Drosophila melanogaster: one gene and its partners. Changing the gene in region 1 together with any one later gene gives a genetic interaction. Each region holds a gene or a part of one and is shown in the gene's direction. Other genes may lie near its edges.

Region 1 (4,935 bases):
AGCTTACATATATACATAAGAGAAGCAAATTCATCGGAATTTGTTTATTGCCAAAATTTTAGTAACAGAAAGAAATCTCTTCTGCTCTATTATTGTGCAAAGCTTAATGAATAAACAATTTATAAAAGCTTTCTCTTGCAGAATGTTATAATACTAATCGCACTAGACTTTCGTAAACTATGTTAAATTTATTCAAGGTTATGGTAACAATGGTTTAGTGATCTTATCACGCACTTAATATTGAATAAAAACAGGAAATTATCAGTAATTCATATACCAGAAAAAGAAACATGTAAGCAGTTATATATTTTAAAAAGTTGGCAATAATGGATCGATTAGCTTTATACGAAATCGTATAACCACTCTTTAAATAAAGGTAAGTTTTAAGAAGTTATCGAAAAACTAAATGCTATATGTAATGTTTCCAGATCTTAAACGTCATTACCAAGACCACAACAAGTCTTATAGCTCCCGATCTTTCCAGAAAGCTCTTCTGCGTGGCTGGTGAATTCTCCCGGTTAGATTCTTTCGCCCAGTAAGCTCCGCGCATTCGTGTTCTATTCCCCAACTAAGAACCACGTGTCTGGCGATTCTTTAAATCACCTCAAAGCGACAAAACACGACGTCAAGACAGCTTTTGACTTTTTGCGCAAAAATGGCGATACGCGATGTGCCAAAAATAAGCAAAAGCCCGCTCACCTATACTTGCGACAAAGCAGCGCACACACACTTGGCGAAAAGCTTTCGTTTTGCTCTTTTTGTTGTGTGCAAAAATGCTCTCTGATTGGTCGGCTTGCGAATTTCGGGGGAATTCGCGAGTCGCAAAAGCGAATCGAAAGCTTGCACAATTTGCCGAGCGGCAACCGAAGACCCTCGGCTCCACTTCGGTCACCATCGGTTCCAAAGAGCGAGGGAGCGAGAGCATCTGACTGTTTACGCGAAATTGTTATTGTTTGCAACTAGTTTTTGCGTTGTTTTTTTACGCTTTTTGTTGTTTTTTGCCGGCATTTTGCTCTTGAATTTTTGTTTTCGCTGCGAAATTCAAGTTCAAGTTTAGGGACGGCGGGAATGTTGTTATTGTTACTCAATTCTGGCGTGCTTTCGCACCAAAGTGTGTGTGTAAACGTATCTATGTGAGTGGGATTTGGGTTTGGGCTGTGGTTCTGTTGACGCAACTTGTTGCTTTCACGTCTGGGGTAAAATATTTAAAGGGCTTCCTTTACCTTTAAATCCATCAGATACTTCCACCACTTATCTATCTGAGAGATAGAAATAGATAGATAGATAGCTCATTTTTAAGATTCTGACTTCATAATATCTTTTTTTTTGCATTTACTAAATGGTTCTACACTTTAAATAGAACAACAATTCTGCGCTCATTGGTTAGCAAGGCTTTTCACTGTAATTGTCATTGAGCGATCCGTCCTTCCGCATTTTCACGTAGCCGCTTTTTGACCCTGGCCCACCGAATTTGTTTTCGTGGTAAACAACAAACTCAACTCGAGAACCAAAACCATACACGCACGCACACACACACACATACCAATATAGATTACAAAAATTTGCGCCGCATTTTGCTGTAAACAAAAATTGTGTAATAATCAAGAGTGACCCTGAAAAGCGCTTCACAGATAAACAAGCGGCCAACTGGCGGGTTATTTTTTTATTTGTCGATTGTTGTTTTCGACTCATGACTGTGTTGATATATTTGCAAAATTCTTACGTGGGCCCAAGGGCCGATGATAATTCTATGCTCGACGAAAGAGCTTTCCCCCCTCCAGAGGCCCAAATTTATATTTATTTTTTTTTCGCTAGTTTGGGAACTTTGCTTTTTTGCTCAATTTGTGAGTCAGTGGCATTATGTACTAGTATATTATGTACAGTCGAAGCTTTTTTTCTACACACACGCCATTTTTGCGGAGCTCTCTCTCTGCAGTCGAGAATCGGCGAAAGAATTAAAAAACAGATTCAGTCGGCTATACAGTCCCCACTCAGAAACAGAGAAACCGAGAAGCCCAGTTCCACTCGCAGTCCCTTTGGTAAACGCCTGAACTCAAGGTCAGTGCTCGTACCGCCGCAGAAGTTTGGCGGTCTGTCCAGAACTTACAGCAGAGCGACACATGTAAATCGCCGCTGCCAACCCTGCCCCGCCCTTCGAGATACACGAACTAACAGATACACAGATACACGGTTATATGTGCCCATCCGAATGCTTGTGAATACTGAAACACTTCCGAGAATCAGTTGTATTGCCCTTTTTTCATACTATTTTTTTCGTTGTTTAGTAACTTTGCGTCATTTTGCCATTCGAAGGCAAAGAGTTCACTTCGATCCAAGCCAAAAAAAAAACCAAAGAAAACTGCAGTGAAATATAGTGAAAATCGAAGCAAACACACAATAATGCCGGTTAAAATGTTGGCTGACTTAGGACCAGTGAAAACGTGGCCAGACTATGTGCGAAAATGTGAATCGAATTATGGTTAGAATCGGCGTTCTGATCAGCCAGCAGATACATTTGTAAAACGTGTTCTACGCACTCAACAAACCCCGAAAAACGTCGCTGGATCTTGCAGATACTATATGTACATGGAGTGAATAAAACAACAGCGGAAAAACAAGGTAAGTACAACACAGACGTATTCTATGGAGGGCGGTTTCGCCCCCACCTTCCCTTGCCATGTGACCATGGCCGTATAAATTCGAACAAAAATTCACAACGCTCGACTTGAAATTTCCCTCAAATTGCTAAAAATAAAATAACGCATTTGTGCGTGCGTTTGTGTGCGAGCGTGTTTTTGGTGAAAACATCGTGGAAAATGCACCCCATGCGCCGCTCGAAAAATGCTAGCCTGTACTTAACGGGGGCGTGGTCGTCGGCTTTCCATTTCCCGAATTTCCACATGTTCATTGAGCGGCAAACTGCAACTGCAACCGCCACACTCGAGTGGCGCTGGCGGCACAAATGGCATGGCTCGCTATTTATAGCCAACGCATTCGTATCTGCGCGCTTCATGGAGAGCATATGTACTTTTGTATCTATATCTATGCATATGCATATCTACGGCCGGATCTGCAACGACTTTGTCATATCTACATATACATATAAATAAATATGTACATATGTACGTGAAGGGACTGTCGCCCGGGAAACGCGATTTGAGTTACATACAAACGATCATTGCAAACATCAGTTTTATATCTGACGCCATACGCCCCATAGAAATAAAGTCTTTAGCACACAGAAAAAATTTAATTTACGCACTGTTTTTATGTGTCAACAACTCAATTTTGACTTTTCTCACAAGCAAAACTAAAGAAAACATATATTCTTAGAGAATTATGGGGTATTTAATATATATAATATATATGTAATTCGTAAATTACACTAAAAGGTTTGTCAATAAACTTTTCTCTCACTGTAAAGATTATATCTTTGTATCTGCGCCAGCGAAAACGATCACAAAATGGCCGACCCATGCAAAGTTGCAGTTGCACTGGTAGCCCCCCATCGCCACTTCCCCCACACACTTTGCACACATGCACAGATGTATCTGTATCTTGTTTGCCTTCTCCCGCTCTTCACCCAGCTCCCCCTGTGCCGCTCTTCCCCTCTTTTCCTGTTTCGCCTTCTTTCTGTTTGCTTTCGCCTAATTTTTCGTGCCTTTTTTACACAATTCTCGTTTAAATGTTGCCTTTTGCTTTGCTATCTGTCGGCCCTGTAAATGTATCTGTATCTGTGTGTTGTATGCTATGCTCTCGTATCTGTGAGTGCGTTGCAAAAGTGCAATGACCCATTCGTAGTCCGCCCCCCACCCTCCCCCCGACCATAACCCCGCCAGCGGACCCACCAACACCACCATCGCTCTACGAAGTCGCGGTCTACGTGCCACTTTCCTTAGTTGCAGCGAATGACGCGCGCGATAAATTTCCAGCGTTTTCGTTTCTCCGCTGCTTCGTATTTGTCTAATTTTCCCTCTCTCCGTTGAATTTTTTCGTGGTCTTCTTGTTGCATTTTTTTTTATTAATTTCCCCGGGCTGCAGTTTTTGTTTGTTTTTCGACTGTTGCTCTACCCACACACAGGAAAGTACACTCGAAAAAATGTAAATTTTGAAATAACTCTTTTTCTGGAAGCTGAAACATAAACTTACGATTAAAAATACAACTTTCCGAAGATATATTTTAAAAACCCTACTTTTCTCTGAGTGTAGTGTGTATCTTCTAGATAGTATTCGTATTTTTGCCCTTCCGCCGCGTGAGTTTTGTGTAAACACTGGGTGGAAAGGGGAGAGATATCTCAAAATTTTCGCCTCCATTAGCACACGAGTGCGAGCGGCGATCTTTATGGCAGGTCCTGCCGATCCTGTCGCTGAACCAAACTCTGCAGGCTGCCCATTGTCCATCGTAGGCGGCGGCTCCTGTTTTTTTCTTTGAGCCACGCTAATTGCCATTTGTGTTGGAGAGAATTTTCACGTGCCGCTGCTACTTCAAAGATGCTCTAAGAGGCGACACTTCAGCAACTGAAAAAGTCTCAAGAATCTAAGCATCTCGTTCGAAAGATGCCCAGGTAAAAGCAAAAGATACGAGGGCTAAAGGTAAAGGGTTGGCCTGGGAAAAGCCGGAAAAACGCAACCTCGATGCGTTTGTGCGTGTGTGTTCTTTTTTTCGCATTCATTTTTTACTTTGCATGACAAATGCTGCTATCAAGTCCAGACATTGATTGAAACCCAAAGCAAGGCTTTTCCTGGAAAATCCGCTTCTTCCTTTTTTCGCATGCAAATATTTTTCACGATAGTCGCTCAATGGTAATGACCAAGAAGCAAAGGGTTAGGCATCGTAAAACGCTGGTCCACATTTCCTTCGAACTATTTTGGCACATTTTTGCGAAAAGCCATAAACCCATAAATCTCAGACGAAACCCTTTCGCTAACGCCATA
Region 2 (7,282 bases), on another chromosome or scaffold:
AGTTCAGACGATAATATCCTGGAAAGAAAACATTTCGTTTCGATAAGTACGACAAGACACGAAACAACAAAATGTCTCCAAAAGCGGTAAGTTAACCAATAACTATAAAATAATAAATAATTAGTACTGATTAGACAGTATTATAATAAGTTCGAAATATTCCATTATAATGGTAACCATATATCACTGGAATGAAACCACAAACGAATCTGATAAAACAAATGTTTTGCACTAGCGCCTAGTAAATTATTAAAGATTAGTTATATTAAATCACAACGAAAAGTTTGTCAGCTATCAGCTATCGGAAATTGTGTTCTTATCAAGAGAGCACTTCAGCTACAATTGTCGTCAATTGTGGAGTGTTGGGATCGCATCGCATCTTTTAATAGAACTTCTTCTGGGGGGGAATGGGGATGGCCAGGCGAAGACGTCATATTGGCCCAACTGTTGACGTTGGTAATTGTATTTGATTCTTGGACATTTGCCAAAAAAAATTTCATCATTTCATCAGATACGCAGACGGCGAAAAATTGGATTAGAAGACGACGTCATTGATATGAACACATGAGTAGATCATTATTTCATACCAAAGCATTTGCCAATTTCTTTTTGACATGTTGTGATTTCTTTTTTTTTTTTTTTGGCAACCGGAAAAGTTCTTATCTCACCCAGCGATGGTCTAATGACATTTTTGCCTCAACTTGATTGTTAATGAATGATGTATTTGTTATGAGTTCATCATGACAATCAAACACGTGATTTGAAGTGATTTTATAATACAATTTGGATGATTGAAAGGTGATTTTTGCACAAAGCTTTAAGAAGTCGTTTGCCTTTTAGGGAAATTTCTCTGTTCCAATGCAGTAGTCGATGCACATCGTGCTTGAATGGTTTCTCCATAACTTTCCCTTTTTCGCTATAGTTTTTCTCATCCATAACTAGATGTTTATTGGTCTGTTTGAATAGCTTGATATGTGAGTGCGGAGTGGGGAGGGGGGAGGGGTTTAATTGCTATTTGAGGCCCAAAAGCGGCATCAATAAAACAGAATTGACAGCCAACGCGTCGTATGATTGACGCTGATTTGTTTGCCTACCTTGGGGCTGCGTTTCTACGGCGCTCTCTCGTGCTCTTCGGCGCACAGCGCTGGCCAAATGACTAGTGTTCAAACTAAAAATTAGCTAACTATACAGCTAATTCAATCAATAATTCATTTAGAGAATTGGTTGTGTTTTGATTTATATATATATTTTTTAAATATATTTTACCATATTGCACTATTTACTTGACCCCCATTGCATTCACATACTTCTCTCGTTCTGGAAAACCCATTTGACCTCTATGGTCAGCAGTTCTTTTCTTTATGGTTGCGGCTGTCCACTTTTAGATGCATAATTAACATGCAATTTATATTAACTTGACAACGAATGACTGGGATAAAAATTTTCCCATTTTCTTGGGCAGAAATTAAGTTCATTTTGTGTTGTGTTGTGTGTTCCCTTAGCGTTTCTTTTGCGTTCTGCCGCCGCCGCCGCTTTCCCAGTGTTGTTTTTTGTTTTTCTTCTCTTCTAGCATTTATTTTCCTTTTGCCTTTTGCGCTTGTCTTCCCCATTTGGCGACTTAAAAACGTGCCGTGACTTTTCCATTTTCCTCAGTTGCCGCTGGACAACAGAATCGAATCGTCGCTTTTCCGCTTTTAACCATCGTGTCGCGTTGGTCGGTTGGTTTTCCCGCGTAGCTTGTGGCTGCTCAAGAATATATATATATTTCCCAGACGGAGATTTGCATTGAAAAGGCGTAATAATTCAAAAGCTACTGCGCAATCCGTTTTCGGTGCCCAAAATGGTCGTCGTCTCCGACAGCCGCGTCCGTTTGCCGCGTTACGGCGGAGTCAGCGTCAAACGGAAAACGGTACGGACCACACTGCTCACTATTTTCCACGTTTTTCCTGCTAAGCTGGAAAAGCGCATCCCCCTTTTCTTTTTTTTTTTTTTCATGTGCTGCACTTTTGTGGTTTCAAGTCAAAAACCATTTTTTTTTCTTTTTTAAAAACTGGTTATTATGCTCCAACTTCCGTTGCAAATAGCTGTTGTGTTTTTCATTCTCAGCGGCCAGGGGGAGAAAAAAACAAAGCAGAAACCACGGTGGTTGCATTAACCCAAAAACGTTAATTGGATTGAAATGAAAAACGTTTTCAATTTCCTAACATTGTGTCACGTTTGATTTGCATTCAGCAGCCGAAAGCGAAAACAAAACAATGAGCCCTCGGACTGAAAAGCAAAACCGAGCCAAACAAAATGATGAAGTTAAAAAATTTTAATTTGTTGGGTCTACCACACATTGTTTTTTCCCATGCCCAGAAAATGGTAACAAAAACCAGCGGATTTTCAAAGGGCCTTTAAAACTGAAATTGGTTCAATCAATCTTAACAGATAGGAAATAAAATAGTTTAAAAAAATTTGTAGCTGATTTAGGTATTTAGCAAAATTCCTTTGTATATTTCAATAAAGTAAAGGAATATTTTAAACGAATGGTTTTTAATGTAAGACTTACATTTGTTGGCCATGTTGTAAAAAGCGAACTGAATTGTTAGTTATATATACTCTATTGTCTGCGCTGCATATTAACCCCAATTTTGATCTACGATCGCATTTACTTTGATCCAAATGTGGCGATTGCGCAATGGTATGTAGTGTAGTTAGTACAGGTTGACATGTGCATGTGCTGTGTGTCCGACGTTGGGTGGCGATGTGGGTGGAATTTCCCTAGCTTTTCCGCCATTTCACATTGCAAGTTGGTCAAGTGGCACGCGCAGTGGGATAGATAGCGGCTGAGCTCTCTCTTTCTATCTCTCTCTTGTATAACCACCGATTACCACTCGCTGGCCATCCGGTCTATATTCCCATACACACACACACACACACACACGCACACCCCACACCCTGTGTTTTCCCCCCACTTATTTCCACTATCTAGAGCTGCCTGGTCATTTCCAGCTTGTTGCTATTGTCATGCCTGATTGATTTTTGCTTTGCTGTTTTCCAAGCGTGATTTTTCACTGCGGCCCGCTTTCATTTTCCCTCTTTCCATTTTGCCCTCCATTTTCCCCCATTTCCCCCCATTTTTTCAAGCATTTTTCACCCATTTGAAACGTGTGTGTGCGCGCGTTTAAGTCGAAAGCCCGACTTATGCAAGTCGTGGCAATCGAATCCAATCCTCCAAAGCGAAACGGGAGCTCTTGGCACGTGCCCTGCTCACATCCCGTTAATCCATCGACCCCTAAACAAATCGTGGGGGATTCTCCTCTGCACGCCACCTTCATCGATGGGTGTCAATTTTTTACTCTTTTTTTTTTCTATTTGGCTTGTGAGCATGCCCAGTTAGTTTGATCTAGTTAGCTTTTCATGTCATGGATGATGGCACTTTTAACTTAAGAAATGCAGCAAAAGAAACAAATAAGTTACATTTAATTAATAAAACATTCTGTTTGATTCATTCGTTTTTAGTTTGCCTTCTAAAGGCAATGCTTTGTTCTTTTATATATATATATATATATATATTTTTGCGTTATTTTAATCATTTAATACGATATTTTTTTAATATCACGACATCCCTTACTAATTTCAGCTAAATGTGCGCGTCACGACAATGGACGCGGAACTGGAGTTCGCCATTCAGTCGACGACGACGGGCAAGCAATTGTTTGACCAGGTGGTGAAGACGATCGGCCTGCGAGAGGTTTGGTTCTTTGGACTCCAGTACACCGACTCCAAGGGCGACTCCACATGGATCAAGCTGTACAAAAAGGTAGGCGACTATAAATTTCATACAAATAAAGTTTGAAGTTTATAGTTCAAAAGAATATAAATTTAAATTATTTACTAAGATTGCATGTACATCATAATATTTATAAATGTAATGTATGGTACATACATAATATAGCCCGAATCGCCGGCCATAAAGACAATAAAATATTTAAAGCGTGTAAAGAAGTATGTGGACAAAAAGACAGCCGACAGCAATGGAGTAAATCATTTAGAGACGAGCGAAGAGGATGACGACGCCGATGATATGGTGGGCAGAGATCGAGAATATATTTATATATATATATATATGCCAATCCAGCAAAGTACATCCACAAAAAGTCCCAGCTAGAACATAAACCGAATTATCCTGTAAAATGCCAATTCTATAATTGTATTGTATCGCCTCGCCTTCGAATGCTTAGCTTAAGTTAATTAGCGATTGTTAGAGACTTGATTTACTAATACAAATGCAATCTCTGTATATGATTTAATGCTGCACCACAACAACAAACAGACTGGATCAATGCCGTTTTCGACATGGGTAACACTCAGACGCCGCATGCACTTTTTTATCTATGATATTATGTTTATTATTTCATTATTGAATCGGGAAAACCAAACGTTTTTTTTTTTTTCGTATACAAATCCATTTGCAGTTTGTAAACTTTAGCGTGCATTCGCATCTAATAGTGATATGTTTTCGCTTTTCACAGGTGATGAACCAGGACGTGAAGAAGGAGAATCCCTTGCAGTTTAGGTTCCGTGCCAAATTCTATCCCGAGGATGTGGCCGAGGAGCTGATCCAGGACATTACACTGCGTCTGTTCTACCTGCAGGTGAAGAATGCCATACTGACCGACGAGATCTATTGTCCGCCAGAGACATCCGTGCTGCTCGCCTCGTACGCCGTCCAGGCGCGTCATGGTGACCACAATAAGACCACCCACACAGCCGGCTTTCTGGCCAACGATCGCCTGCTGCCGCAGCGCGTCATCGACCAGCACAAGATGTCCAAGGACGAGTGGGAGCAGTCGATTATGACCTGGTGGCAGGAGCATCGCAGCATGCTGCGCGAGGATGCCATGATGGAGTATCTGAAGATCGCCCAAGACCTGGAGATGTACGGCGTTAACTACTTTGAGATCCGCAACAAGAAGGGCACGGATCTTTGGCTGGGCGTAGACGCACTGGGTCTGAACATTTACGAGCAGGACGATAGGTTGACGCCGAAAATTGGTTTCCCATGGTCCGAGATTCGCAACATTTCGTTCTCGGAGAAGAAGTTCATCATCAAGCCGATCGACAAGAAGGCTCCGGACTTTATGTTCTTTGCGCCACGTGTCCGCATCAACAAGCGCATTCTGGCCCTCTGCATGGGCAACCACGAGCTGTACATGCGTCGCCGCAAGCCGGACACCATCGATGTGCAGCAGATGAAGGCGCAGGCGCGCGAGGAGAAGAATGCCAAACAGCAGGAACGGTTAGTACGGATTTCAAGTCATGTCTGTTTGAATGAATCAAAACTTTGGGAATTTCAACGAAATACAACGTTTCAATGACCCGAAACATAATGATTCGAGCATATCATTTCCATGAGAGTCTGATTCATGCACAGGCTATAATCTGCAAGCAGATGATTCCCTTCTTATTTTCGGTGTTCTTTCGTTTTTGCAGTGAGAAGCTGCAGCTGGCGCTGGCCGCACGCGAACGCGCTGAAAAGAAGCAGCAGGAGTACGAGGATCGGCTAAAGCAGATGCAGGAGGACATGGAGCGTTCGCAGCGCGATCTGCTTGAGGCGCAGGACATGATCCGCCGGCTGGAGGAGCAGCTGAAGCAGCTGCAGGCCGCCAAGGATGAGCTGGAGCTGCGCCAGAAGGAGCTGCAGGCGATGCTGCAGCGCCTCGAGGAGGCCAAGAATATGGAGGCCGTCGAGAAGCTCAAGCTCGAGGAGGAGATCATGGCCAAGCAGATGGAGGTGCAGCGCATTCAGGACGAGGTCAACGCCAAGGATGAGGAGACAAAGCGTCTGCAGGACGAAGTGGAAGACGCCCGACGCAAGCAGGTCATTGCGGTACACTTTTTTCACTATTTGTTGGCATCGAAAAAACCAATGAATATAGTCTTGATACCATTTTGTGTTCAACTTTATACTGAACATTGTCGTTTTTGTAGGCTGAAGCCGCTGCCGCTCTGCTGGCCGCGTCGACAACGCCGCAGCATCACCACGTGGCCGAGGATGAGAACGAGAACGAGGAGGAGCTGACGAACGGCGATGCCGGTGGCGATGTGTCGCGCGACCTGGACACCGACGAGCATATCAAGGACCCCATCGAGGACAGACGCACGCTGGCCGAGCGCAACGAACGCTTGCACGATCAGCTCAAGGTGGGTTCGAAATCGAGTCCCTTATGCTCCACTCAACTAACAATATCAATTTGATATATATATATATCTATATCTAGGCTCTGAAACAAGATTTGGCGCAGTCTCGCGACGAGACGAAAGAGACGGCAAACGATAAGATTCATCGCGAGAACGTTCGCCAGGGACGTGACAAGTACAAGACGCTCCGCGAGATTCGTAAGGGCAACACAAAGCGTCGCGTCGATCAGTTTGAGAACATGTAAAAGCTATCAAAGATCAGAGATCGATAGTGCGCGGGAAAGAGAGAGGGAGCGGTGAGACTCCAGAAAGAAAAAGAAAAAGATATAACTACAGCAAGAGCAGATAATAATAATGATGATTGATAATGATGAAGATGATGATGAAGAATAAGCAACAAATATAATTCCGGTCGCTGGCAAAAGCCTATTGCTAACTATCCCACCAGCGACGACCCTTTTCCACCCATAAGAACACTTCCTGCCTCCTAAAGTGAATTGAAATGAAATATACTTTGTTTGACCGTCGTTTTGTCTCGCAGCTTTTGTATAGAAGAATCAAGAATAAGCAAAAAGAAAAAAAGAAAAAATAAATTAATGGAAACTAATTTAGCCGGACACAGCACTCATCAATATGAATAGAATGAGAAGACGGTTAGGAAGGACCGCATCTATATGGACAATCAGCAAATGAATGAGGATCAAGCTATCGGAAAATATGTCTAAATCCAAGCAGAAGCAATAGAAAATATACATTTCTCCTTTTCCCAATGGATTCATTGAGAAAACGGAACGAATAGTAATAGATATTGAAAAGGAACATCAGCAACAATAAACAACAACAACATCAACAACAACAAGAACAGCTACTACAACAAAACAAACAACTATTTGCATTTTCCCCCGTTATAATTATTATTTTTATTATTATATAATTACTATTTTTTTTAAATTTGTATAATTAAATAAGAACTTGATTAATTGTTTCTTAAATTAACTTGAGAGAGAGCAACAAACAAAAAGAGAAAAAATATATTATATAAAATATTTTTCTTTAATCTATTTTTGTTTTGCAAGAAAAGAAAGATTCTTAAAAA
Region 3 (6,302 bases), 1.1 Mb from region 1:
GGCGGGCCTCCAAGTTCTCGCTAGCGAAGGGAACACCCAGAAAGGGCGAACCCACGTATCTTTTGTACACGCTTTCCGCCTCCTGTGTATCTGCTATCATGATGGGAAGATGCTCTGAGGCAAATACAAACACCTTCAGCCAGTCAAAGTGTTTCCTTGGGCTTGTTATTTCCAGCAGATCCAATCTGGCCAAACCGCCCAGTAGTATGCTCATCTGGGGCCGCAGCCGAAAGGCGCGCGGTCGGATCATGGTGGCGGGCTGCAGCTTTACCAGCTCCTCGGCGGTGAGCAGGGGAGATATTTGGTCGGGTTGCATCACACCCGGTGTGTCGTAGACCCAACGCGCTTCCTTGTACTCCTTGCCCCGATCGTTTAGCGTTGTAATCGGTCGCGAGCCACCGGCCATGGCAAAGGCATCATGGAGATTTTCGCGTCGATCGAAGGTGCGTCCAACCGGAGCCACTGGTTGAGCAGCTGCCGCTGAACCCGTTTCCCTTGCCACTGCGCGACGCTCCTTTTCCATTTCCGCCTTCTCGCTGCGCTCCGAAACCAATCTCTTAAAGCGCTGATAGACTCGATCGTTCGATGGACGCAAGATTGGAAACCGCAGCAGTTTGAGTGTGGTGCCCGGCCACGGACAGGTGGTGGCCTTGCGCACCAGGTCACTGGCCTCCGGCCGGCAGTAGTCCGAGTTAAGCAGAATGTTGAACAGCGAGCTCTTGCCCACATTGGTGCAGCCCACCAGATAGACATCGCCTTTGTAGGCCCACGTTTTGTGCAGCTGCGTTATTAGCTCCTCGATGCCATAGCCCGTTTTGGCGGATATCAAACTGACATTCTTGATATTTAGACCATTTCCACCGCCATGCTTGATGAACTCGCGCTGCAGAGAATCCTTAATATGCTGAAGATAGATGTTGGAGTCGCGCGGCAGCAGATCGACCTTGTTGCCCACCAGGAAGACGGGTCGCTTTGCGCCCAATATGTTTTGCATGCCCGGCCAAATGGAGCAGGGAAAATCGAGAAGGTCCACCAGAACAATAGCCAGTGCAAATTTGTCTTGAATGCGGGATATGGTGTCCACATAGGTCGATGGGGCCACCACCACATCCAATGCGATGTTGTAGTGGTTCAGAAAGTGACAACGCTTGCAGGTGATCGTTTGCAGTTCCTGCTGCGTCCTATCCCTGAATATTTCACTTGGTATATAGCCTGGCAGGGAGGCATTCGTGCAATGAAGGTCTGCGCCGCAGCCGTTGCATGGAACCTTTGAGGCGGGTAACGAAGGATCCGGTGTGCCCTGCTTATTCCCTCCCTCCTGGGCGCCCTGATAGAACTCGTAGTCGTCCATCCAGTCGTCGGGCAAATGCTGTTGTGTCTCAGGAATCGAGAAAGAGGGTTTTATTTTGGTCTCCAGAACAGAGCTGTAATGAACGTGCTCATGATCCTTGTACCGCTCTCTGGCGAGCAGCCACGCCCTCTGCCGAAAGCTCTGTCCCACTTCAGCGGCGGTATTCTGCCGCCTCGAACATGTGATAACCACATTTTTATTTATAATTTTATATAAACGTGTGGTTTTAAACATTTTGCAATGCCCACAAGAATTCTCACAGTGTCAGACTAAAGCCGTTTGCTACGAAACCATTTACATAGTCAGGGCTGCTAGCCGATAGATCTGAACGATTGTTATATTATTTGGCGTACAAAATAACAAGCATCAATTCAAGCAATGCTTTTTGTGTTATAAATCGAATAAAAGATATTTCAGTACATTAATTTGTGTTCATTAACTGGAAAAAAACAAAACGCATCGAAATTAGGCCGATTCATATCGAACAATCACGAGTGTATCGAAAATCGAAATCGGTGAAAGAGAAAAAAGAAAGCAGCGTTAGCGAGAAAGCAGAGGTGAGTTAAGTGCGGGACAAAAAAAAAGCGTGTATGTATTAAAATTGAAACAAAAAGATATAGAAAAAGCGTGTCCACGGCGCAATTAGCGTGCTCCTGCGGCGGTCGGCAGGCGATATACGCATTGGTAAAAGTACAGAGTACACGCCGAGTAAAAAGCAGCAGCGCACAACAAATAAAATGATTAGGAAAGTGTGTGGAAAAAAGACAAGTGTATGTGAACGGCGATTGTATGTGTGCGTGACGTGACTGTATGCGTGCTGCTGCTGCGTGTATATGAAATAAAAAGTAACGCGAAGCGCGACCTAATTTTAACCAAATATTACAATAATATTTGCATAAACAAAGGCGGCTCGGTTAATGTGACGCCAGGCATTTTGGTGGTTCCTGCGGCTTTCCACGAACGTTTGCCGACGCCATTGTCTGACCAAAAACAAAAGAAAAGAATTGAAATAGAATAAATCTCAGACGAGCACACTATTCCGTCGAGTGTAGAGTTCTTCCCGATTGAGTAATGCAATAACAACAAACGGAGCTGCTCAAATTGTTGAGAGTGTTGCAACTTTCGTTGGAACTCGTTTTGAACCGTTGTTGTTGTTGTTGTTGTTGATTTTGTCGCTCGCATCGCTCACTCACTTACTCACCGACTCACTCGCTCCTTTCCATTCTCCTGATGTTACCAAAACTGGTCTTCAAGAAGCAACAATGCAGTTTCTTGACGGGGAAGGGGAAAAATCAATAGTTCGGAAATTAGACAACTTTCAACATCCATGATTCAACGAAATGCACTCAGCCTAGAAGAAGCTACCGATAACCCCGGGCGCAAGAGCAAGCGAGATAGTTGCCGCCGCCTACCCACACTCGCACACAGCCACACACTTACACTTATGCAGCTGAATTTCCAGCGATGTCTGCTCTGCCTTTTAAGTTGTTGTTGTTGTAATGTAATTGCGAAATCATAACGGCAGTTGAAAGTTGAGAGCGCTTAGCGAAAGAGAACGAGGGACACAGAGAGCGTGAGACTAAAGTTTAAGCTCTGGCGGCAAACTATATGCCCTGCTCTCCCCCGCCCACGCAGAAACATACAGCCGGCTGCCAGTGTAGCGCATATGAGAGTCGCATCAACAACAACGCTATTTCCTCAAGAAGAAAAACACATGTTGGCCGCACAGTGGGATGGAGTGGGAGTGAAATTAAGACAAAGTCACTGAATGGAAGTGCGAATGGTGCCGCCATCTTGGTTCTTTTTTGGTCAAAAATCACGGAATGAATGCTATTTAACTGGAGTGCGCCTAAAAATACATTGCCATCGGCAGCTGCAGCGTGCATCGCGTGCAACAGACTAATTCCGCGTTCTAAGCCACTGTGCCGCATACGAATTCAAATAAGCAATAAGTACACATGTGTGTACGACTGAAAATGCAGAAATTGCCTTGAAAAGTGAAAGGCATTCAACAGAGCGAGCCAGCGACGATTTGATATTTTTGCCTCTTTGCTTAACCTTTGCTGGCAGCTGTTTGCTGTTTTTATTTAGCGCTGTCTCAGCACTTTGACATTTTCCAGCTCACTCACACATGTACAGAGTAACAACGCTGTGCATTCCGAACTCCCATTTCCCACTGCACAAACGCTGCACATGCGCCGCAGCACATTTATATTTGCAGAATACTTTTGGCCAAGAGACGTGCTGTTTTGCAATGCTCTCGTAACGTTCACTGCTAATTTCGCCAAGCTGTTGTTTGTTTGTCTTACTCTGCCTTGCCGTTACCGTTCGTTCACTAATGCTGTCTGTTTACTTCTCTTGCAGAGTGCGTCAAAGAAAACCCAAGCGAAAACCCACGGATTAAGCGGTCCGCTGCGAATTAAGACCATCTAACGGTGAACCTTTCGGTCACTAGTCCAAATTAAGCCTCCTGCCCACCCCCCTCCCAGCATTCTGTTCAGCGAGCGCGACGCCCCCACAAAACAAAAGCTTCTTCATGATGTCGTCGGATCAACAGTTCTTTCTAAAATGGAACGATTTTCAAACGAATATGGTGACCTCGTTCCGTCACCTGCGCGACGAGAAGAGCTTCACAGATGTGAGTAACCAAATGAAACTTTCCAGAAGCGGCGATGGAAAAACTATTGCAGTCGAACTATTAGTTAGAATGATGATATTAGATGTCAATATATTTTGAAGTTACTTATAAATTCAGTCAAAATCAAGCCATAGAAGTTCGACTGTAGTTAACCAGTCCCAGGGGCGCGCTGAGGTTTATTATGCTACTCTTGGCCCGATTGGCTCGCGGCCGCCCCTTGTGGAGGGTCAGTCACCGGCTGAGCTCAGTTGGTCTGAGTAGCAGATACCTGGCCCTCACGCTATTTTCAATTCGTTTTTCTTTTACCTGTGTTCGTTCTTCGCTCTGCGTTTTTGTTCAATTTGTTGCGGTGAAAATGCCTGGCGGATCTTACTGATTTCCCAATGCTTATTGTTCACAGGTAACACTCGCCTGCGAGGGCCAAACCTGCAAAGCCCACAAAATGGTGCTTTCCGCTTGCAGTCCCTACTTTAAAGCGCTACTGGAGGTGAGTTTTTCACGCGGTAATAACTAAGCAATCGTTTGATAATGTAATGTATGCACCCGCAGGAGAACCCATCGAAGCATCCGATCATTATCCTGAAAGATGTCTCCTACATTCACCTACAGGCTATACTGGAGTTCATGTACGCCGGTGAGGTGAACGTGTCCCAGGAACAATTGCCAGCATTTCTTAAGACCGCCGATCGCCTCAAAGTGAAAGGCCTCGCAGAGACACCCAGTTCGATAAAGCGGGAAGGTTGATGGTATTAAACAATAATCGAAACAAAAAATACATAATAAATAACAACAACCAACTATAAGAAACTTATATGTACGCAAGAAAACAAAATTCCAACCAGCGGCAAAAGAAACAACATTACGAGAACGACATTTGGTATACAAATTCATATAAGAGTGCACGAGGAGGATGAAGAACGCCAACAAATGACCACACAAAGCTAAAGCTGGACAGATTGAAATGATTAGCCTGTAAAGTAGAGGTGGAGGCCAAATCCGCCCGCCCACTCCCACACCCGCTCATTCACATCTGATCAACCAAATTGCAAAAAAAAAAAAAACAACACTTACCGACAACCCCACAGAACTCGATTTGAATTCTTTTTGTTTAATTTCTGCATAAAATAGTTTGTAATATATTATTAACAATACAAACCACTCTGTATAAATAAAACGATATGGACAGCAGCCCCTAAAGCAAAACAAAACATAACGAAACGAAACAAAACAAAAAACGCACTTTTGTAAAGTAATTAAAGAAGATCCATTTAAAATATATAAAGATAATTATAAATATAGTGTGAAATGTGCAAGTAGATGGAAAAAGCCACGACGGGCGCGAATATTACAACACATTCGGTTAGTTTTTAAGCCACTAACTACAACCCCAGACATGCCACGCCTCCAGACAGACAAACTCATTTTCATCTATATTTAAACAATAAAATAGAAACAAATGCAAAATTGTACTTCAATTAATTGTGTGTGGACAAGCGCGTTTTTCCCCAACTTCTGATCATACGCGAGATACATACATATATTGTATTAATAACAAAACGAAGAAAAGGTGTTTCAGTGCGAAGCTAGCAGTTCTACACAGTTTAAACAAAAGAGTAAGGAAATACGTTAGAATGAAAAATACAACTTGAGTAAAAACTATACTTGAATATTATTACATAAAGTAAAATATTTATATGTATGTATATGTATACATGTGAGCATAGATTTAAAGAAACTACGGTAAATAAACAGAATAATTAAAACAAAAAAAAAAAAAAAACAAATGCAAATCATCCTGAGCTTTTCATTAAATTACGATTCGAAAACCGGTCGATTTGCATGTCTGCATTTATTTTAATAGTCTTTCATAACATCCTTCATAAGCTTCGTACTTTGTATACAGAGTAATTCGTTTACAAATTAACAAAAATATGTTCGCTTAGCTTAAATTACACTAATATTTGATATATTGCCGATTGGATCTCGCTTGCTGTTGCACATGCATGCAGCCAATATAGATCAAGATGCACAATAAGCCACAGTTCCTAATTATTGAAACAGTACGCATTGCGCGTGTGCAGTTCGAATGGATCGAGGCGCATCTTCTCCTGGTTATCCTCAACGAAACGCGTCACATCCGCCACGAGATTGGGTCGCTCCTCGGCGCTGGCGGCGCACGGCGACCAGATCTTAATGTTATGGTCAATGCCACTGGTGGCCAGCATGCAGATGCTCGGATGCGGCTGCACGCAATTCACGATGGCACTGTCCGCCCGATAAACGGCGCGTATCTTGCCCGTGTCTCCCTCCCAA
Region 4 (5,028 bases), 8.7 Mb from region 1:
CGACGAAAATTGTTGAGCAAAAGCAACGGCGGAAAAAATTTCAATTACATATTGACTTTTGTTTATTTGCTGGCGGCTTTGAAATGGATTGGAATTTCGGTGTGTTGTGTTGTGTGAAATCACGGACTCCAGTTTCTTGTGCTTTTTTTGTTCGTGTTTTACTTTTTTGAGCGGGGTGCGGCATAAATTTTCACTTTGCCAGGCGGCATAACAACAACAACAAAAGCAACAGCGGAGTAGAAGTGTTGCCAAAAATACAAGGCACACGCACACACACACAAACACTGGAATTTCGAATGCCAAACGAGTTTTGGAACTCTGGTTCCTCTGCTTCTTCTTTCCCTCGGCGAATATTTTCTTCGTCATTCAAGAGCCAACAACAACAACACAAAAACATTAAAAAATAAACAAAAAGCGTTGAACAAAATTTCCAACTTTTATTGTTAATTTCTTTGAGCGCAGCTTTTTTAAGCTGCTGCGCGGGCGTCGACGCCGACAGCGCTACACTGCAAGAAAATATTAGTAATAGATCGGTCAAAACACTTTTCCAAATCTTACGTTTGCTCTCAAGGCATTGTAATGTGCCAATTGAGTTAGAAATCAGTTAGAAATTATATGCATATTAGCAAAAATGTAGTTTCATAAATGAATTTAAATTCTACATTCCAGTAAAAATATGCTTACTGACTTTAGTTAATCATAACACATATGTATTTCTCACCGTGTAACAGCATTATTGTTGTTCTTGTTTTTCGTGTAATTATGATCTTGTGCTGACTTTTTTATATGTACATGCATGTGTACATATATTTGCTCAAATCAAGTAATCAGTTATATTTAAGCATCAAAATCAAGTTTTGGCAATTGCTAATGCAAGGCGGTGGTAAAAAACGACCAAAGATTTATACGAATGTGTGCCGTGAACATTGACGATTTTATTAGAAAGTAGCAATTGGCAAAACAAACAGATATGCAAAATGGCAAAATGCAAAAAAAAAGAGTGGATCCATAAATTGAAAGTTTAATCTTTTCTTGACACCTTTCTACTTCCCCAGTCGGGAATTTTAATTGCCTCGCAAAAAATAATGACAGGTGTCTGGTGAATTATCTTCTTCAGCGCTAATAGCATTTATTTTATTTGTAGTAAAATTACCTAAATTAGCTTTTTATGTACATTTACAAATTTTAAGTTCTGCATCTGCATGGTGAGATCATTTCAGTTGCCGTGTAAGCTTCTTAAAAAAAACTGTGTATATATGAATGTATATATTCTTTCATATATGTATATGTATATAAATTTATAATCACATAAATATTTATGTACTTATGTAAATATTACATAAATGTATGTACATAAGTATGTTCCTCACTGCTTTGTAATCTCTAAAAATTGTAGAACCTACATTGTAAATTATGTATGACCTTGACATTTCATAATTTTTTAGAAACATTTCCACTTGGTTTATAAGAATTCGTTAAAAATTATGTTATGTATGTACATACACACATTTCTATGTACATATGTACATAGTACATCATGTGGCTTAAATCTCGTATTATGCCATGCTCTCATTATGCTTATTATAACTCTTATACATACAAAAAGTATTATAAAAGTGTTTCCCACAAATTCCACGTTTTATTTGACGATCTAAATACATAGCTTTTTACATAGAACTCCATGTGCCATATTTCCTTATGTGCTAAGCAAAAAAAAAACACATTTTCTTTGCCTTTTCATTTAGCGCGACTTCCTTTTGCCACAACCCCTTCTTCTTCTTTCTTTTCTTCCCCTCAATTCCCGCGCAAAACGCTTTTTTCCAACGAGACAGTTGCAAAAAGCAATCAACTGTATCGTGGAGTGTCCCCATCTCGCTCGCACTCACTTGTTCTAGCGCACGAACGATCTTCGGTTTTTCGAATGCAGCAGAAAGAACAACAAAAGCAAAAACTTCGTGCTCACACACACACGCAAAGCCTATTTCTTTTTTCGACTTTTATTCGAACTTTTTTGCAGCGATTTTTCAGTAACAAACGGCAACTCTCAGGAATAAAATCGTCGTCGCTCCGCTCGTTAAATTCTCGTTGCTTTTCCACCCACATAAAAAATCAGGATAAATTGTTAGTAGTCTAAAAAACAGTGCGGATTGCATAAATTCAAGCGGAGCACCGATTGGAAAAACACCCACGGAAAAAACTATGTGATGTTAAATACGTTTTTGTGTCGAGTGCATAATTTGTTGTAATTAAAGTTCAACTGCAAATGCAAAAAGACGAAATATATAATAATTTATAGGTGTTTGTGAGTGTTTGCGCCCCCTCTCCTGTGCAACGTGTGGGAAAGAGAGAGAGGGAGTGAGAAAGAGGGAACGTGACCGAGTTGCCATGAAAACTCCAATGGAAATTCAGGTGAGCGATTGTCAATCGACGTGATGTTATGCGGGGACCATCATCTCTATACGTTCACCTTTCATATGCACACTGTAGCCGTCGAAAAGATCTGTAGAATTTATGATTTTGCCACAGAAACGACACTCCTCGCATCAATTAGTATTGGTTAGAACATTTGGCATGCGTGTAGAATTTCGCACAGAAATGTTAATTTTCCAGCTGAAAACCCGATGAAACCGTTAAAAATTAAGGTACATATTTAGGTACACATAATTTGTACACCGAAATTAGAGAGAAAACGCGCGGCGATGAAGTCATGCTGGAAGCCAAAAATAAATCAACGCCGATCATAAAAACGTTTGGAGAGTGCACAAAATATAATTTGCGCTTTTTAGTGGGAAATGCATTGCACACACAAGCCGAGACCATCTTTCATCTCCCTCGCACACCCTTAAACAACTGCAACGAGAGATGGAGAGAGGTGTCGGAGTGGGGGAGAGAGAGAGCTTGCTCGGCAACGGTAATTTTACCATTTCGAACATTATGGCTTCGCTTTGCTGCGAAAAAAACAAGCAAAGCTAAAGCAACAACAAAATCTCGCCCCATGGTGGAAAACAAAAACAATACCAATGCGAATGATATTTTCGAACTCCGCCAAATATGTGCAAGCAGAGTTGTCAGCCTCGTTCGTTGTCACTTACAGTATATGAGGTTCTATTGAACAACTTTATTAATTAGTACGTACGACTCACATCTCACTGTCTATGCCAAATACTATTTACCACGTAGAGACCCTAAACAATTTTTGTGATATTCATATTCAATACTTTCTCCAATTATATTTAACATTGTCTTGAGATTAGCAAAAACGTTATCGTGTTTTTATAGACAGGCTTTTCAAGTAGTGTAGTTAGTAAATTTGACGTCCGTTGGAAACGTATTTCCTTCTTCCTTGATGTGGAACTTAAATTAGGTGGCAACCAGATAATGAAAAGCGTGTCCTCCTTCTGCATCATCCTAATTTGTCGATCTTTTGTCGTGAATTGGCAACTCTGTGCGCCAAGCATACAAAAAGCACACGTCTGAAGAGGGGTGGCAAACAGGCGACGTCAACTTATTTTTCGAACTCACACTCTCATTCGCACTCACACTCTTCGGGTTTCGCTTCGGCTTCGTTTCCAACTCTCTCGGCGCTCTTCGGGGTCTCTGCTTATGGGAACCTTTCGTTTTTTCGAGCACCAGCGGAAAGTCGCGTCAGTCGTCAGTTTTTCTTCAGTGGCTTCGCGCGTCCGCAATTTTCAGTGTGTGGTGCGTTGTTGCTGCTGCCTACTCTTTTCTTTCTGCTCTCCACGGCAGCGGGAAAGGAAAATACATACACATGCATACAGGGCCCCATCACATACAGTAAAAATAAATTCAACTTTATTGCTTTTCCCCCCGTCGCGTTATCGTGTGTGTGTGTATTAGTATTATATATATTTTACTATATATATACATATATGGATTGGAAAAGCAACACCAAAATTTGATATGTGCAAAGTTTATTGACGACTACGTGCTGCCTGTGATTCTATTTCGGTGTGTATATAAAATTGATCAATAATGTTTTAAAGTACCGCTTAATAATATACAATAAGAACTTGCATTTGAACTGTACCTGGCAATTATCTGCCTGAGATTGTGTGTGTTTTTGCATATCGAATCGATACTTCCAGTGGTGTTTCTATCGATTTTTCCCTATGCTCACTTCACGGGAGAAAGCTTTTCACCAATGTACGAAAAGAGACAGGCACAGACAGAGCAGGAGAGGGAGAGCTTTCCCACAAAATGCAACGCTGAAGTAAATGACGGGCGGTTTTCATTAATTTTCACACACGCACACACTGCCAGTGGCTCACTTTCCATGCAAATGAGGTCAAGTGTTGCAGTGGGAAATGTTTTCTACAAGTACACGTGTATGTGTGCGCGAGTAGGAAAGTTATATAAGCTTTTCATTACCGATTGCGACGAGGGAAAGCTTGATAAAAAAAACTATGATTAGTAAACACGAAGATTGCCAAGAGCGAGTTCAATTAATTGCTTTCTATTATAAACTCCTACAAAAAAGCACGTTTTTCATTTCGATAGATTCCCAAAGTCTTGGTGGCCGCCATCTTGGTTTTTCCCCCACACATAAAATATTTTGTTCAATGCTAGGCTCTCTCGCTCTTTTGGCTCCCCTTTTCTTTCTCTCCCGCTCATTTTGTCATACTCCCTCGTCAGTTTTTATGTTTGTTCACGAAAAACAAAAACAACAAGCGTGAAATTTTCTCTCTGCACTTTTCACACACACTTAGAAAAGTGGGAGAACCAGACGGCTCAGCATGAGGCAAGGAGGATGATGAGGAAGGGAGAGAGAGAACAGTCGCCACATATTTTTGTTTCCACTTTGTGCTACACTTCTGCTACGCCGCTTTTGTTGTTTTCTTTTCGACACGTTTACACATTTCCATTTTTCATATTTTCGTGTCGCCTAATCTTTTTTATGGGACTGCGCGACGTTGCTAAATTTCACTTGTGACTTTTGCAAAAGTTTCATTTGTTTACATTCTACGCACATGTGCAGAATAATAACAATAATAAATGAGATATAAAAAA

The links.
Region 2: of rib (region 1) and Moe, changing one suppresses a phenotype caused by changing the other (phenotypic suppression), as found in Drosophila melanogaster (one study listed by BioGRID).
Region 3: of rib (region 1) and lolal, changing one enhances a phenotype caused by changing the other (phenotypic enhancement), as found in Drosophila melanogaster (one study listed by BioGRID).
Region 4: of rib (region 1) and lola, changing one enhances a phenotype caused by changing the other (phenotypic enhancement), as found in Drosophila melanogaster (one study listed by BioGRID).

The regions. Positions count from the first base shown.
Region 1 is NT_033778.4:19,268,168-19,273,102, forward strand, and holds the start of rib (ribbon), read left to right. Parts: upstream 1-1,910; 5' UTR 1,911-2,619; intron 2,620-4,935.
Region 2 is NC_004354.4:8,873,096-8,880,377, reverse strand, and holds Moe (moesin), read left to right. Parts: upstream 1-1,652; 5' UTR 1,653-1,840; coding exon 1,841-1,909; intron 1,910-3,216; exon of another isoform or gene 3,217-3,322; coding exon of another isoform or gene 3,323-3,364; intron 3,365-3,625; coding exon 3,626-3,805; intron 3,806-3,940; coding exon 3,941-4,072; intron 4,073-4,318; coding exon 4,319-4,345; intron 4,346-4,356; exon of another isoform or gene 4,357-4,517; coding exon 4,518-5,284; intron 5,285-5,478; coding exon 5,479-5,875; intron 5,876-5,976; coding exon 5,977-6,189; intron 6,190-6,266; coding exon 6,267-6,431; 3' UTR 6,432-6,755; downstream 6,756-7,282. UniProt on the Drosophila melanogaster protein: Involved in connections of major cytoskeletal structures to the plasma membrane. Together with wgn, involved in control of axon targeting of R8 and R2-R5 photoreceptors, independent of egr.
Region 3 is NT_033778.4:18,153,579-18,159,880, reverse strand, and holds lolal (lola like), read left to right. Parts: upstream 1-1,862; 5' UTR 1,863-1,939; exon of another isoform or gene 1,940-2,121; intron 2,122-2,988; exon of another isoform or gene 2,989-3,134; intron 3,135-3,501; exon of another isoform or gene 3,502-3,715; 5' UTR 3,716-3,887; coding exon 3,888-3,989; intron 3,990-4,389; coding exon 4,390-4,476; intron 4,477-4,538; coding exon 4,539-4,733; 3' UTR 4,734-5,786; downstream 5,787-6,302. Other genes in the region: CG10914 (uncharacterized protein), read right to left, coding at 1-1,585; adp (adipose), read right to left, coding at 6,035-6,302. UniProt on the Drosophila melanogaster protein: Required, together with Trl, for maintaining the repressed state of target genes including homeotic genes Scr and Ubx. May also be involved in the activation of homeotic genes. Binds to a DNA Polycomb response element (PRE) at the bithorax complex.
Region 4 is NT_033778.4:10,540,286-10,545,313, reverse strand, and holds the start of lola (longitudinals lacking), read left to right. Parts: upstream 1-2,022; 5' UTR 2,023-2,409; intron 2,410-3,318; exon of another isoform or gene 3,319-3,473; intron 3,474-3,540; exon of another isoform or gene 3,541-3,969; intron 3,970-5,028. UniProt on the Drosophila melanogaster protein: Putative transcription factor required for axon growth and guidance in the central and peripheral nervous systems. Repels CNS axons away from the midline by promoting the expression of the midline repellent sli and its receptor robo.